Oryzias latipes: one gene and its partners. The protein of the gene in region 1 binds, or shares a complex with, the protein of each later gene. Links are inferred from orthologs where the notes say so. Each region holds a gene or a part of one and is shown on either strand. Other genes may lie near its edges. The genes, in order: ndufab1, lyrm4 and fdx1l.

Region 1 (4,915 bases):
GCACAAAAATAAATATTGCCATGGACTAATGACATGAGGGTTTATTTATCAGCAAATACATAAAATCTACACCAATGTGTTTGTAATCTTATTATTTATAAATCAGCCACGTTTTCCATGATCAGAAAACAGCAGATTCATAAAATGTTCATATTTATTATATTTTTACTTTGACAAATGGGTGTCATTCTCGGCGTCAAATAGAAGTAGTACCCCTCCAGACCAGGTGGTGGCGGTAATGCGCCACTTTGTTTTGGTGCCTAGCGCCATTCGAAAACACCCGAAAGAGGAAACTAGTGAGCACGGGTGTCCGAATTGCTAAAAAAATTCAGAGAACTATATAGAGAACTATATAGTGCCGCACTATATAGGGTTTTAGTAGTTAGGGGTTAGGGCGGTAATTCGGACACAGCCTCAATATTTTTTTACAACTCAAATTTACATATTTATCTAACTAAATGCCATATTACTTGAATTCAATTAAATGTTTTTCCATCTTAATTTATTGTACTTCTTGAACTTTCACATGTCTAAGTTTGAGCCTGCAGTTATTCTCATTTTTATAACAATAAAATGAAAGAAACACCAGTTTTTTGCTATATGTAACATGTTATTTATCATTTCTCTGACTTTAATTATACACCAATTAGAAGTAGGGCTGCTAAATAAACTCATCATCCTCTCCTTCCCTCTCACTCATGGTGCAGAAAGAATTAAACATAACAGGATAAATAACTAGGTAAAACACAGTAAAACAGCTAAACACATTTGATCAAAACCCCACACTTAAACCCAAATCCGTCCAGACAGGCAAAGGGAATGGTATCCTACAATTCCTTGCGGTGCCGATCTAGCAGCACCAAGTTCTTCTTCTTTTGGCTTTTTCCCATCAGGAGTCGCCACAGCAAAACAACCTGTCTTTTGAGGTTAACTTGGGAATGTTTTACGCTGGATGCCCCTCCTGACGTAACCCTTTCAATCAAACCGGGCTTGGGACCAGCATAGAAGCAGAGAAGGGAATAGGGAGCAGTCCGAATTCGAACTCTGGTTTCACAGACGGAAGGTGCTGCAAACCAGCACGAGCTAAGCTGTCTCCTAAGCTGCCCCAAAGTTACACCTACTTAACTGAATTAATTTGAATGAAAGTAAAATAACTGTCTGATAACTACGTGTTATTTTTAAGCCGACTTAACTTAAAAAAACGATTTATCTTAACTGAAGCAAATAATTAAGTTAGATCAATGTAAAAAAGTTTATCTTTCCAACACCCATAAATGGTCTTATCACCCTTTCATGGTGGAAAAAAAGTATTATCTGAGCTTTTTCATCCACTAAATCATCTTCAAATGGACATGCCATGCTGCTTCACCTCTCTGAAAACAAACTAACCTTGAACTAAACCTGCTCAGAACCAGTGCTTTGAACTTCAAGGTTAAACAGAAGTTCTGTGATTGACTGTTTTTGCCTGATGGTTTGTATGGTACTTGATACTTTCATTGTTACATATTTTGATTTTCAATACATTTTGAACAAATGTAGAAATTTATACACAACGTGAACTAAGCATGATTATATTGTTTTTTTTTTTTTAAAAAGCGTGCGTGTCAGTGTGTGTATGTACACCCACACACCCACACACACACACACACACAAACTTACGTATAAGCTTTTTTTTAGATATAGATAAAATACTTGTTATGTTATGCGCATGCGTACTGTGAAGCCATTGACTGCGTTCTTCTTCTACGCTTTGCACATTGCTCATCCTCTGCTGGATCCCTTTCGTCATGGCGGCTCGTGTCCTGCAGCAGTGTGTCCGCTCGTTCGCACGGCCCTCGTTGAGGCTTTGCACGCGTAATGTAGCAGTCAGAGCCACTGCCACTCCGGCAGTTTTCATCCACCGACCTCTGTCCTTCGCTGCAGAGAGCCCGAGGACGCGATTGTTTGGTCAGAGCCGGGTGAGTCCCTGCTACCATGAACAGTCGTGGCCTAGCACTTGGAGCTTGACCTACCGATGTCTTTCAAAACTCCACCACTGAAATGACCTTTAAATGCTGTTTTTCTAGATTTTATTTTCCACCCACTTGGACTTGTATCAGTTAGGTGAAATGACGACACCGGGCGAGGCCGTGTTTTACAGTAAACCGCAATGCGCGTCACTTTTTGCTGGATTGTTATATAGCATGATAGGCTAGCAGGTTAGCAAGTTCAATGACAGTCAACATTTGTGTTTGGTTTTTTAGCGTGTTTCCTGCAAAGACTTTAATTTGAATTTATTTTTCATCCCACCTTTGCATTGTATGATGATGGAGACATATTATGTGAAATGTATTGTAGCACTAGTGTCAAATGTATGCAACGCGCTGTGGAAACACGTTTGTTTTGCTTTTTCTGTTAGCTTAGTGAAAAAACTCCAGTATTTTTTTAACTTGAATCTAGTTCTACATCTGTTTATGATGTAATCTGTGAATGCATTGTCTGGAATTTGAAACGGCATTGAATTATTTACCAACAAATCATGATTGATCAAATCTAAATTTGTTTACCTTTAGTTAAACTTCTTTGTTTAACCAAAACTCTTGTCTTCTCCTCATTCAGTACTTTAGCTGGTGAAGAAAACCATTTTTTAATCAAACAAAATTATTAACATTTTATATCTAATAAAAAAATCTGTTATCTGTGAATTTTTTTTTGAACTCCTATCGCTTATTGAAACAAAATATTAGTTTATTACACTTTTAACTCACAAAAAAAACTAAAGAAAATCTCAGATTTAAGTTAATTTCTGACTTAACATGTCTTTGGTCATAACTTCTTGCTTTGGTCTTTTCTCTCTTACGTCCTGTTTTCCTTTCTCGTTCAGATCTCAGTGGGTGTGTTTTGCCGACAGTATGGTGACCTGCCCCCCCTCACCTTAGAAACCATCAAAGAACGTGTCATGTATGTACTGAAGCTCTATGACAAGATCAACCCAGAGAAGGTGGGCAGAAACGTACACATCTGCAGAATCTTTCCATTTATGTGCAGATAGGAAATTATGAAAGCTCTGTTATGGGACACTGTGAGAGACCTGTTTGTAAACTGAAATTATACTAAATCTGTGCCCCAGCTGCAGACCTCCTCCCACTTCATGAAAGACTTGGGATTGGACAGCTTGGACCAGGTGGAGATCATAATGGCAATGGAGGATGAATTTGGTGAGTTGACCTTTACTGCAGCAACTTCAGAAAATGCACGATAAATCTACATGGAAAATGAGAGGATTGATGTTTAAATCGGATTTTTGTTATTGAAAGACCTGGATGAAAAAAGATGATCCAGTTACCATTGAGATTCAGGGTACCGGTAACCATCATAAGTGCTGTGACTCACTCATATGCCATAAAAGCAGATTTTTTAAGTATATGTCAGTCTATTCCAACGCTCCTGTTGCAATCAAGGGAATTTTTTCTTATCTAGTTTTAACTCAGAACCAAACACAAAAAATCTTTTTTTGAACTGAACAACTGACATATGCAACTGGCTCAGACAGATCAGCCTTGCAACCTCCCTAATTTTCTGTCTTTTATGATTTCTTCCGCCATGGCAACAGAAGTGATTGACATATTCACTCTGAAATGTATCCGACTCATTTAATTCAAAACAAGTTCCCATTACAGTTTTGCGAAATGTCAATTTCTATATGCCTCAAAATCCACCTCAAAAACATTTTTCTTTTTTTGATATGTACATGTTTTTTCAAAATAGTTTCCATTAGGCAAATTTCGGATCACAAATCCAATTTCTCAATTTCATAGTCAATGGAAACGGCGCTATGTTTACACAATTACATTCATACTGACTCAGCGTTCTTGTCGGTCTTTCAGGCTTCGAGATCCCAGACGCCGAGGCAGAGAAGTTGATGACTCCAGAGGAGATTGTACAGTACATCGCAGACAAGAAAGACGTTTATGAATAATCTGCTTTACATCTCAAAGGCAGGTGTCCTCCCTGTCATTGTTCGATTGCACTCCGACAGAGTCTGATTAGATTTCTTTTCCCATTCCCTACACAGGAAGTACCGGTGGCGCTTTCCCACCTCTGCCCAACCATCAAAGTTTGAGTCACTTTGTGTGTATTTAAATGTTTTGGGGCCATCAGAGGAATTAAAGAAAAACCATGTTTTAGGTTTTTTTTCTTCATGCTCCCATGGTTCTGATGTATAATTTCATAATAGATCAATAAAAACAATTGGTGTCTCTGTACATTTATTCAGTTACAAGTTATTATAAAGTGCAAAAGCAGTTGACAAAAACTGAATTTTCAAAATTGCAAAACTGCAAATCTTGGGTATCTAAGAACTATTTTTTTTTCCAAAGATGTCACAGCAACAAGTAAATCTGTCCAATTCTGAGGCAACAGTTAGAGGAAGACTTCTGCTTCACTCTTGGAGCATAATCCTTAATGATTGAAAGATTGTCATATCTTTGAGTAGGAACACTCAGGGGATGATGGATTCATTACTTTTTTTGTAATGCCATTAGCTTATTTGATTCGATTAACCCTTGTGCTATCCTAGGCACTTTAACGTTGGGAGTTGGGTCATGTAGACCCGCTAAAAAGTGCGCTGAACCTTTTTTCTTTAATGATTTGTGGTCTTCACTGGTGTCATGAACTATTTCTACCTTTGTCATGGAAGGGAGAACACGTCAATGTAAGGGTGGGGTCATCTAAGCACAAGGGTAAGTTTTTTTTTCTGCTGCACCCATGTACCAACTTAAGCCAGATTTAAAAAGCACAATTCAAATTGTCCAAATGTTCTTCTAGTCTGACCATTTCAGAATGTTTTCATAATCTTTTTAAAGCGTTCCCAGTGGTCTTGTGATTATGCAATTTTTAGCTAAATCAAACACATCATAGTCTAGGACAGTTTCTT
Region 2 (3,961 bases), on another chromosome or scaffold:
GAGTTCTACTTGGTAATCATGTTTCCAAGTTTGAGTTCATAAAATCATCCCAGAGAAAGTCTCTGCTTCAACTCCCGCAGGGAAAGCTGCGTCTGAATCTGACGCCCGTATTTCCATCTCTCTGACAGTTTAAAGCCAACTGCAGCCAATAGCCCCTCCCCCGCCTCTCTACCTGCTTTTCCTCTCTACCTGTTCACATCCTCTGTAGCTCAGAGTTGTTTTCCCCCGCGCTCCTCCTGTGTCCAACACAGAGAGCGCTAAATACGGTCATCATAGCAGCAGGTTGACACGGTAGTAGTCGGGGCGCTTTGGCGCAAGCGCAGCACAAGGATGGAAGAGGTTATACATAGGTTATAGCGGGTTAAGAAAATGAATGGAAGAAGGCCGGTTCGCTGAAGAAATATTCAATGCTGTACTCCTTTTATTAATAGTCTGAACTATCTTTGATTTTGAGAAATGTTTTATTTTGAAAAATCACCGCATCGGGTACTTAATCAGTCCAGTAGGGGAAAAAATCTACAAAAGCTGTATATTGTTGTTTCTCCCAGTCATAGATAGATTAGATACAAAAGTTAGTCTGGAGCCCTGACACACACATACTCATTCTACAACACCTATATAGTTAGTTCATTAGTTAGTTATTTGTTACTGTTATTTGTTAATGAAGAATACTGCGTTGTAATTATTACTTGTACCGGTATTCAATTGCAACGCTGCGGGGGGGGGGGGGGGGGGGGGGGGGTATTGACCGCGAGTCCTGCTGCGAAGACGGGGTTTCTTAATTGAATTAAAACCTTAGACCCCAGATATGAGCTGCATTGTTAATCCTTTAGATAATGGTGCTACTGTTGAGGTGAATGTTTGTCTCCTTTTAGTCTAAACTACAAAGTGTGACTTAAAACACAGCTGGGACTTTAAATTAAATAACCTTTTTATTTTGGACAAGTGAAAACAAGTGTAGAATAACAAGAGAAGACAAAATTTATATAAAACAAGAAAATTATATAAAACAACACAAGTGCAAAAGGGAGAGAGAAGAAGAAAAATCTTATACTTTGATTCCAAGAGTGTGTTCATTTATTTATTATTCATACCAGAAATGGGGGTTACATTTGTCTTGCTTTTGATTAAATAAAAGCAAAATTTGCTTTAAGTTGTCTGCAGTTTGTACTTATTGCTTCCCTTAAGTGTGTGTATGTATGGGGGGGTGGAAATCGAATAAAAAAATCATATCGCCCAGCCCTAATGGAAGGCCGAAGAGGCCGTTGACCAGGCCATCAGCAAGCTTAAACACAACGAAGCCGTGGGAAGGATGTGGTCAGGAAGAGCCGGCTTAGGCTGGGGAACAGCCCCCAAGTTCTGGTCCAAAGCCACAAGAAGGGAGAGGAAAGAGCTGGTGTGATTGAAGAGGTGACCAGGAGCGAGGAAAAGTAATGCAAGCTCAAAGCACTCAGCCAGCCACAACAAGGGCGACTACAAAATCGGAGTCCCTAATTGGTCAAAGTTTGACCTGGTTAAGGTTAGAGTTAACTTTAAAAACACATTCAGCGGGTGCGCATTTTGTACATAGAGCCCAACAACGGTTGTAGAAACTTTCGTAGCAACAAGTGAATGAGAGAATTTTGAAAGTGTGCTGCTGAGGTGGTGTGAACGTAGCTCGAGTGGCAAATTACCATCACAAGTGTAAACAGGAGGTCATGAAGGACTACAGCACCTTCAAACAACAGATATGGGATTCCAAAATAATAAAACAGAAATATAGTCCATAAGAGTCCCAGACAGAATAGATGACTAATAGCTTTTATGTACGTATCCCACATCATGAGTTTCACATGAAGACTTTCCATCTGTCAATCACTCATCCAACACGAGGAGGATGACCTGTGGGGGTCTGAGCTCCTCTTAAGGAACATGTTTAACAACAGTCAAAGGGGGGGCAGAAGATGAATGACAGCAAAATAGCCACCATGAAAGGAGACAGCAGGAGATCAGAGATTATCAGCTCCGTCATGTGAGCTTGAAAAGTATTTTGAAAATGAATTCAATCATAGTCTGACTTATTTTGAAGTGATGTTCGAGGAGAGAGAATGCACTCAAAAGATGAAATAAAGTAGCTTCAGATTATCAGTAAAACGTGCAAAACAGAGTTCAGGTCTGTTTCCATAAACTCAAAACCTTTAAATAAAAAGGCTTCTGCATGATTAAAATTGAGATTAAGGCTTTTCAAAGTCGTTATGATCAACAAACTTTCAAAATAAGAGTCCCAAGAAAACAAAACCAGTCAACAATTTGTCAATAAAAACAAAGTTCTTATGAAATTATGAATGGCATTGATTGTACTTTATCATATTCTGCTATAGCATGGCATTACCAAACTCCATTGCTATTATTACCAACGTGCCTTCAAGTGATCATGAGGGAACACCTTAAAATAAGCTTTTTCATTATAATAACCCTGTATAATATTCCAAAGGGAAGAAATGTAATAATGAATAAGGTTAGTTTTGTAACACATGAACTGGTGCAGCAGCAGTCAGGAGAGTTTCGTAAACTCTGCAGCAGCTCATCAATGATCAAAACACAGGCGTTAGCAGGCACTTTCCTCCTTTGACAGCCGGAGCACAGCGGCCATGAGCCCCGCTGAACCCGGCTTCAGTCCGCCTCTTACCTGTAGTTGTAGGAAGGAAACCTGCTGCTCTCTTTCAGCATCATTCTGTACAAAGACAGCACCTGGGCTCGAGCAGACGCTGCCATGTTCATGCTACCGACGCTGTTCGGTCCCTGCGATGAAGGACCCTTACTTAAGAGCGACCAACTAGCGCCAGTTTAGAAATCCAAAGTCTAGGCTGTTTGTCATTATTTTCGTATGTTACATTATAATAAGTTTGATAAAAGAACGTCATTTATTAAATAACACACAGCATAAATATGCATATTTATTTTTGAAACATGTTCATAATCCAAGAGTCATGCAGGCGCGCTTCCGCATACCTCACAAGAGTTGAAAGCTGAAGTGTGACAGAAGGTGAGTTAGCATTGCTAATTTTAACCTCTAAAATATATTACTTATATAATAAGAAGACCTTTTCTAAGGTGTCGGTACAAAATTCGATATTATAGTGCAGGAATAAGAATCATTAATTGTGAAAATGTGTTGCTTGTCGGGTTTAAAAAGCTCCTTTTGTATTTGTGAGGTTCTGCAGCAGATCATACTTGACAACAGGCAGCTTCAGCTGTTGTCAGGTGTGTGTTTATGTGTGGGTGTGCACGCGCGAACGTGGGTCTTTTTTTAGGTCAGGGATTCTTTAACAGGAAGTGTGTGACCGCACAGAGTCCTGCTCTGGACCCTCCCTGTATGACCCTCTTGATCAGGACTGTCAATCTTTGGTCATTTGTTTATGTTTGGTAGTTTTATAAATACAACACAGCTAATAAGTCAGGGATATTATCATTTACATTCGGTTTCTCCTTTTTGGTTTGAATTTGAATGAAGTACGATAAAGTTACCTTTATTCATTCATCTTCTAAACCCGTTTTGCCCCTTTTGGGGTCACATGGCTGCCAGAGCCTTTCCCGGCCACTCGTGGGCGAAGGCAGGGGACACCCTGGACAGGTTGCCAGGGCCACAAATCACACACCATGCACACTCACATTCACACCTAGAGACATTTTAGAGAAGCTAATGTACCTATGAAGCATGTTTTTGGGTTTTTGGACTGTTGGAGGAAGCTGGAGTCCCCGGAGAAAACCCACACACGCACACACAGGGAGAACATGCAAACTCCACACTAAGTCCCCTTTAATATTACTAATAATGAATGAGATGAAACATCATTTTCATTAGTTTGATATTTATAACCCCAAAATTAAGCCAATAAAAAAGTATTAAATGGTGGGTATTTCCACCATTTGCCACTAGGGGTGTGACTATGGAGAGAAATTAGACTCAGTCGGATTTGTG
Region 3 (5,107 bases), on another chromosome or scaffold:
CAGGTTAGGCCTCCATCCTCACCAAAAAAAAGAAAAGAAAATATAAATATATATATTCCAAGTAAAAGAACCATTTTGAGTCAGACCCCTGGTGTTTAGAGCTCTCTTTTATTTCAGCATAATTTTATTGCACAACTTTAAATGTTTGCAATTAAGACACATCTTGATTTTTGCACAAAACGACTGCGGTACCGTCTGCAGGAGAGTAAAGTGGTAAAGTGAAGCCTACCAGCTTCCTGCTTTGGATCCAAACACCTGAAACTGGTTTACTCAAAATCTTAATCACCTTCAGCTGAAAGGAAAGAAAAATCTCATCCCCAGCCCACACAGTACTGTCGTCGTTTTGAAATGTTAGAAGTTTCTACTTTGTAAATTCTGGATTGTGGAGATTCCGCTTTAATGAATGGAATATGCGTCTTTATGGCTTCTTTTGTCTGGCTTAAAAAGCCAACAGCAGGAAACCAGCGGTGATGTGAGGGTACTTTGTTAAAACGCTGCTTTTAAATGAATGTAACACATGAGGAGATTGCTACAACGAGTGGACCAGGACACAAATGAACCGGTCGACATCCTGCAACATTTGTGCGTATAGAAGCTGTAACAAGGAATGCTCCATCCTGCAGTGCGGAGACTGGATATGCTCGGCAGTGTGCGTGGTTTCAACAGTGACCAGTCTCAGAGGATGTCTGTAAGATGGCCTGAGATACAAACAGATGCTTTATCAGTTCATCACTTCTCTTTTTTTTGCATATAACCATTTATGTCACCTCAGAAGATACGTAGTGTCCAACTATCCTGACATTAAAACTGCAGAATCTTGTCAGTTGGCGAATCGTGTTGAGAGAAGCTATGGACCATACTTTCTTCCTTCTGCCTTTTTCAGTGGCTCTCAAACGCGGTCGTCCATCGGTCTTTCTCACAGCAACCCCTGCATTTTAGCCTCAGAATCCTCAGTTTCCATGTTGGGTCCCTTGATTCAGTGAGGCTTTGGAACGTGACCGTCCACATAGAAGTTCCTGGTGATTTTGGGAAGGGTCAGCTCAATGCCATCGAGTTCTGGAGTGAGAACGATCTGACACCCCAGCCGGGAGGTCTCTTGAAGCATGGGCGCCATGTCGAGCATGTCATCCTCCCTAAAAAACCAAATTCCCAGTCAACTTTTATTTCAAATCGCAATTTTTACTCTGTGCGGTGCAGCCGACAGACCTCTCTTCAGGCTCCGGCAGTTTGTCAAAATGGGCGTCGCTCACATAAACATGGCATGTCGAACAGGCCAGGGATGCCTCACAAGCTCCTAAACACAACACCAAAGGTTAGGGAACAATTTGAAGAGCGTGGATTCATCGGCTTGATCGACTCCTACCTTCCAGATGAATTCCGTGTTTGTGAGCCAAATAAAGAACATTATCTCCAACTTTGGCCTTCACCGGAATCCTCCGGCCAGACCGGTCTATGTACACCACGTTGACTCTGAATGCACACAAGAAGACATTTAAAAACATTTAGATCTTGGAAACAAGAGTCCCTTTTTAAAAAATAAATAAGTAACAATCATCCAAAATAAGTAAAACATACTTAACCTGCTTTGGGCAAAATAGCATAGTCATAAAAGACAAAAGTGTACTTCTCGGTGGACAATTTAAGTTTCTGATTACAGGTATTTGGGATAAATCATTCCATGATGTAACATTCCTTTCATGGAACAAAAAAGGTTATCTGTCCCCCGAAAAAAATCAGAAGGTTTAAAGATTTTACCATTGTCTTGTTTTTTTTTTTTCTGTCATAAATGTCCCATTTGAATCAAGTCCTCACTGCAGGTCTAGTCCGAGTCAGTGCTTTGTCATTAAAAAAAAACACAGATTTTTTTTTTAAGTGGTGTTTTTTAGCATCTCTTTTTGGCATTTTTTCTCATGATGGAGGACATGCATTTAAAGAAAGTGAAGCTTCAAATTGCAACAACTCAGATGTGAGTTTCTAATCAACTACTGCCACCCTGCAGAAACTATGTCCTAGAAAACGACACAGGCGTTTTCATTTTTGGCTAAAAACAGCATAATCATAAGGTAAAGAAAGCTGAGAACGATTTGAAACTGGATTAAATATGATCAAAGTGACTTTAATAATCTCACCCACATAAAAAAAATAATAATCACACTTACACTTCCTCTGGGTCCTCTGCAGTAGAGCTGTCCTCTTCCCTACAAAGACCTTTAAAATACCAACAAAAATGTTAGAGGCTAGATTCAGAAAACAGCACTTTTACGTTATATGATGTACAGCACCTTCTACACACAAAAAGGAGGAGGGGTGCACCTCGGAAATCCTTTAAAACATGCATCCATGTATCTCCAAGATTAAGAAACCGATCAGGAAAAAATAAAAAGGTGTCACTTTAGATTTTGCTTGTCATGATGACCCATCAGAGTCTTTACTCTATAAAATGGAAATTCTATAAGTTATAGAAGGTTTTTTCCACCAAAATGTGCTAGCTGGTATTGAAAAAAATTTGAGTGATTGATTTTTCAGAAGTTTTTGAACACAAAATATTAGTCTAACTCTGGATCTCCCTGATACAAAAATGTACAATGGAGTAAAAAAAAAATTTAAAAAGTTTTCACAAGTGAAATTGTTAAACATAGTGGGTCCACAACCATGTAGGTATGTAAACATTGTAAAATCAAACCAAATAAAGAATTAGAATGCTACATGGTATAGAAATGGCACATTATTATTCATGCACTTGTATAAGTATTACCCTATTGTGCACATCCATCAATAATTATTAGACTAAGGAAGGTATCTCTGGTTTAAATTAATTATGAACTGCCTTTAGATTTCGTCTAAACCCCGTGACAGGTGATTTTGATTCACATAACACACCTACGGGAACATTTGACCTCTGACATAATGGAGTTTCAAGGAGATGATGGCATGATGGCAAAATTACACAACTGGCACGAAGATGTTTTTTCTGCTATAGTTATAGCACTATAAAACCAAACCAAACAAGTGGACACCAATAATAGCCAGCATTCTGAATCACTTTTTATTTATTTATGTTAAATTACTAATTTTAAATTATAAGTAGTAAACGCAGGGAGTTTCTGACTGAAGCTAACCGTTAGCAAGCTGCACCACACTCACCTATGGTCGTCTGTAAATGTCGGTTTGTGGTCCGGAAACTGTCAAAAGAGCCCCTCCTTTGTAAACTGGCGCTGCTGTTCCCACAGCTCTTTAATCTGTAAAATGGGCACGTGCTACAATCTGGAATAACTCGAGACAACCTCAAAGTCAGCCCCATGCTCGTCCGAACTGCAGCGGACGCCGCCATCGCTGTGTTTTGGTCACATGACTGATAGTAGCCAATAGGAAAATAGTGACAAAAACGTTGACATTTCTTCTGTGATTTGCTTTTCTGACAGCAGGGGGCGCTTGTGTTTGACTTTTATCTGAATTAATTTTCATAACAAACCCAAAAACTCGGATATCGATTCGGATCAATTTATACATTGTTTTCTTATCAATTCATCAAAATAAAGTCATATATATTTTTTAAATTAAGGCATCAAAATGGTTTAAAAAAATCAACACTTAATTAAGGTATACAGAAATAATAATTTGCACACTTTACATATCAAGTTAACTAACAATGCACAGTGATTAAATGTGAGTTTGATTTGATTTATTTCAAGCATTAATTGTAGTCAATACAAACAAAACACACAGATTTATATAAGTTATTACAGAAATAATTAAGTATGATGATGAAATGCATACATTACAAAAAAGGACAAAAACAAAGACCCACTTAAGTCACATTTGCTTAATCCAATACAGTGATCATTAACTAAAGTCAAGAAGAGCTTGATTTATTGCTTGAAAAGGAGTGGGAACAAGCGTGCCTCTATAATCCCACCCCTACTGAGTTAATTCATTTTTTTAACTTTGCATGAATTTTGTAATCCGCTTCTGATCAGATAGATTCTTTTCAAATAAAAAAATCAGGTGATTATTAATGATTGATGATCTTCAGAAAACATGATGTCAGTAAACGGTAACATGAATCACACACTATGTCACAGTTATGTAATACTCATTGATTATAATCAGAATACAATTTCATATTCATCCAGATATCATTGCTACACATTGTAGATCAAGTTATCAAGTCACAAAATCGACTACATATTGATTATCCTCAGAAAGAATTCTTACATCATTAACATTAATGATTCACACTTTGGGCAACCAATAATCATTGATCATCATTAGAACACATTATCACACTAAACCATTGATTATTGCTACACATTACACATTAAAATGGTTAATACATAATGGCTTAAAAGCTTAAATTATTGTATAAAAGTCCTAGGCCTTCCTTATATTTGTATTTATTCATTTACAAAGAACCAATCATTTTCAATGGTTTAAAGTGGTCTTATACAAAAGTTTTCCAAATGTTTAGCTTAAGATGGTTCCGATTGTTTTAACAAAACAGTGGTTCTGTTCTCCTCACTGTCACTGAAACCATAGTTAAGGTTAAATTAGATGAACTACAAAAACAAAAGAACAAATAAACCAGATTAGGTAAAAACACTCAAAGTGAGTTAAAGAAACAAATGTTTCTAAATGTATTTTAAGGTAATTTTACATGACAAACTCCAGATAAGCCAATTTTGTTCATTTACACACACTGATATTAAAAATGAAACACGTTTGCCAAACACACTGTGTACGTTACATAAGTGTTTGATCCAGGTTGCAGCTTTGACTTGTCTAAACCTGTTTATGCCACTGGTTAAGAGCGCTTGTTTGAACCCACATTTCATCCACCTGTTTTTCTTTCTTAACAACGGGGATTGATTGATCTTTCATTCAGATTGACTCCTGCTTAATATTAATCCACACTGTACTGATGATCATATATGTCTTCATAGCAGCTGGCTGGTGCTAAATACAGTATGTCTCCAGAGCTCCATGCTCTAGAGACGTGAGCCTGAGCCCCTATTATACTTTTTTTTTGGTGTAGCAGAGGAAGATTCATTTTGATAAAGAATCTTTTGAACATGTGACCAGAGTATACAGATAAACAGACGGGTGTTAT

Evidence for each region.
Region 2: the proteins of ndufab1 (region 1) and lyrm4 are in contact, whole or in part, in a crystal structure (PDB 6ODD), measured with the Homo sapiens proteins. The link is inferred for Oryzias latipes from reciprocal best matches to the Homo sapiens genes NDUFAB1 and LYRM4. Residues at the interface, in NP_004994.1 of Homo sapiens: Lys92, Asp111, Ser112, Leu113, Asp114, Val116, Glu117, Met120, Glu123, Asp124, Glu129, Ile130, Asp132; in NP_065141.3 of Homo sapiens: Arg6, Leu10, Ser11, Tyr13, Arg14, Leu17, Arg18, Lys21, Arg37, Phe40, Arg41, Lys44.
Region 3: ndufab1 (region 1) and fdx1l share a complex: the UniProt entries of both Homo sapiens proteins name them as parts of the mitochondrial core iron-sulfur cluster (ISC) complex. The link is inferred for Oryzias latipes from reciprocal best matches to the Homo sapiens genes NDUFAB1 and FDX2.

The regions. Positions count from the first base shown.
Region 1 is NC_019866.2:17,746,451-17,751,365, reverse strand, and holds ndufab1 (acyl carrier protein, mitochondrial), read left to right. Parts: upstream 1-1,729; 5' UTR 1,730-1,787; coding exon 1,788-1,958; intron 1,959-2,863; coding exon 2,864-2,980; intron 2,981-3,109; coding exon 3,110-3,197; intron 3,198-3,866; coding exon 3,867-3,958; 3' UTR 3,959-3,977; intron 3,978-4,054; 3' UTR 4,055-4,244; downstream 4,245-4,915. UniProt on the Homo sapiens protein: Carrier of the growing fatty acid chain in fatty acid biosynthesis.
Region 2 is NC_019878.2:3,839,205-3,843,165, forward strand, and holds the start of lyrm4 (LYR motif-containing protein 4), read right to left. Parts: upstream 2,801-3,961; 5' UTR 2,761-2,800; coding exon 2,669-2,760; intron 1-2,668.
Region 3 is NC_019859.2:10,359,341-10,364,447, forward strand, and holds fdx1l (ferredoxin-2, mitochondrial), read right to left. Parts: upstream 3,367-5,107; 5' UTR 3,332-3,366; coding exon 3,145-3,331; intron 2,209-3,144; coding exon 2,160-2,208; intron 1,471-2,159; coding exon 1,364-1,470; intron 1,295-1,363; coding exon 1,207-1,294; intron 1,134-1,206; coding exon 977-1,133; 3' UTR 90-976; downstream 1-89. UniProt on the Homo sapiens protein: Electron donor, of the core iron-sulfur cluster (ISC) assembly complex, that acts to reduce the persulfide into sulfide during [2Fe-2S] clusters assembly on the scaffolding protein ISCU.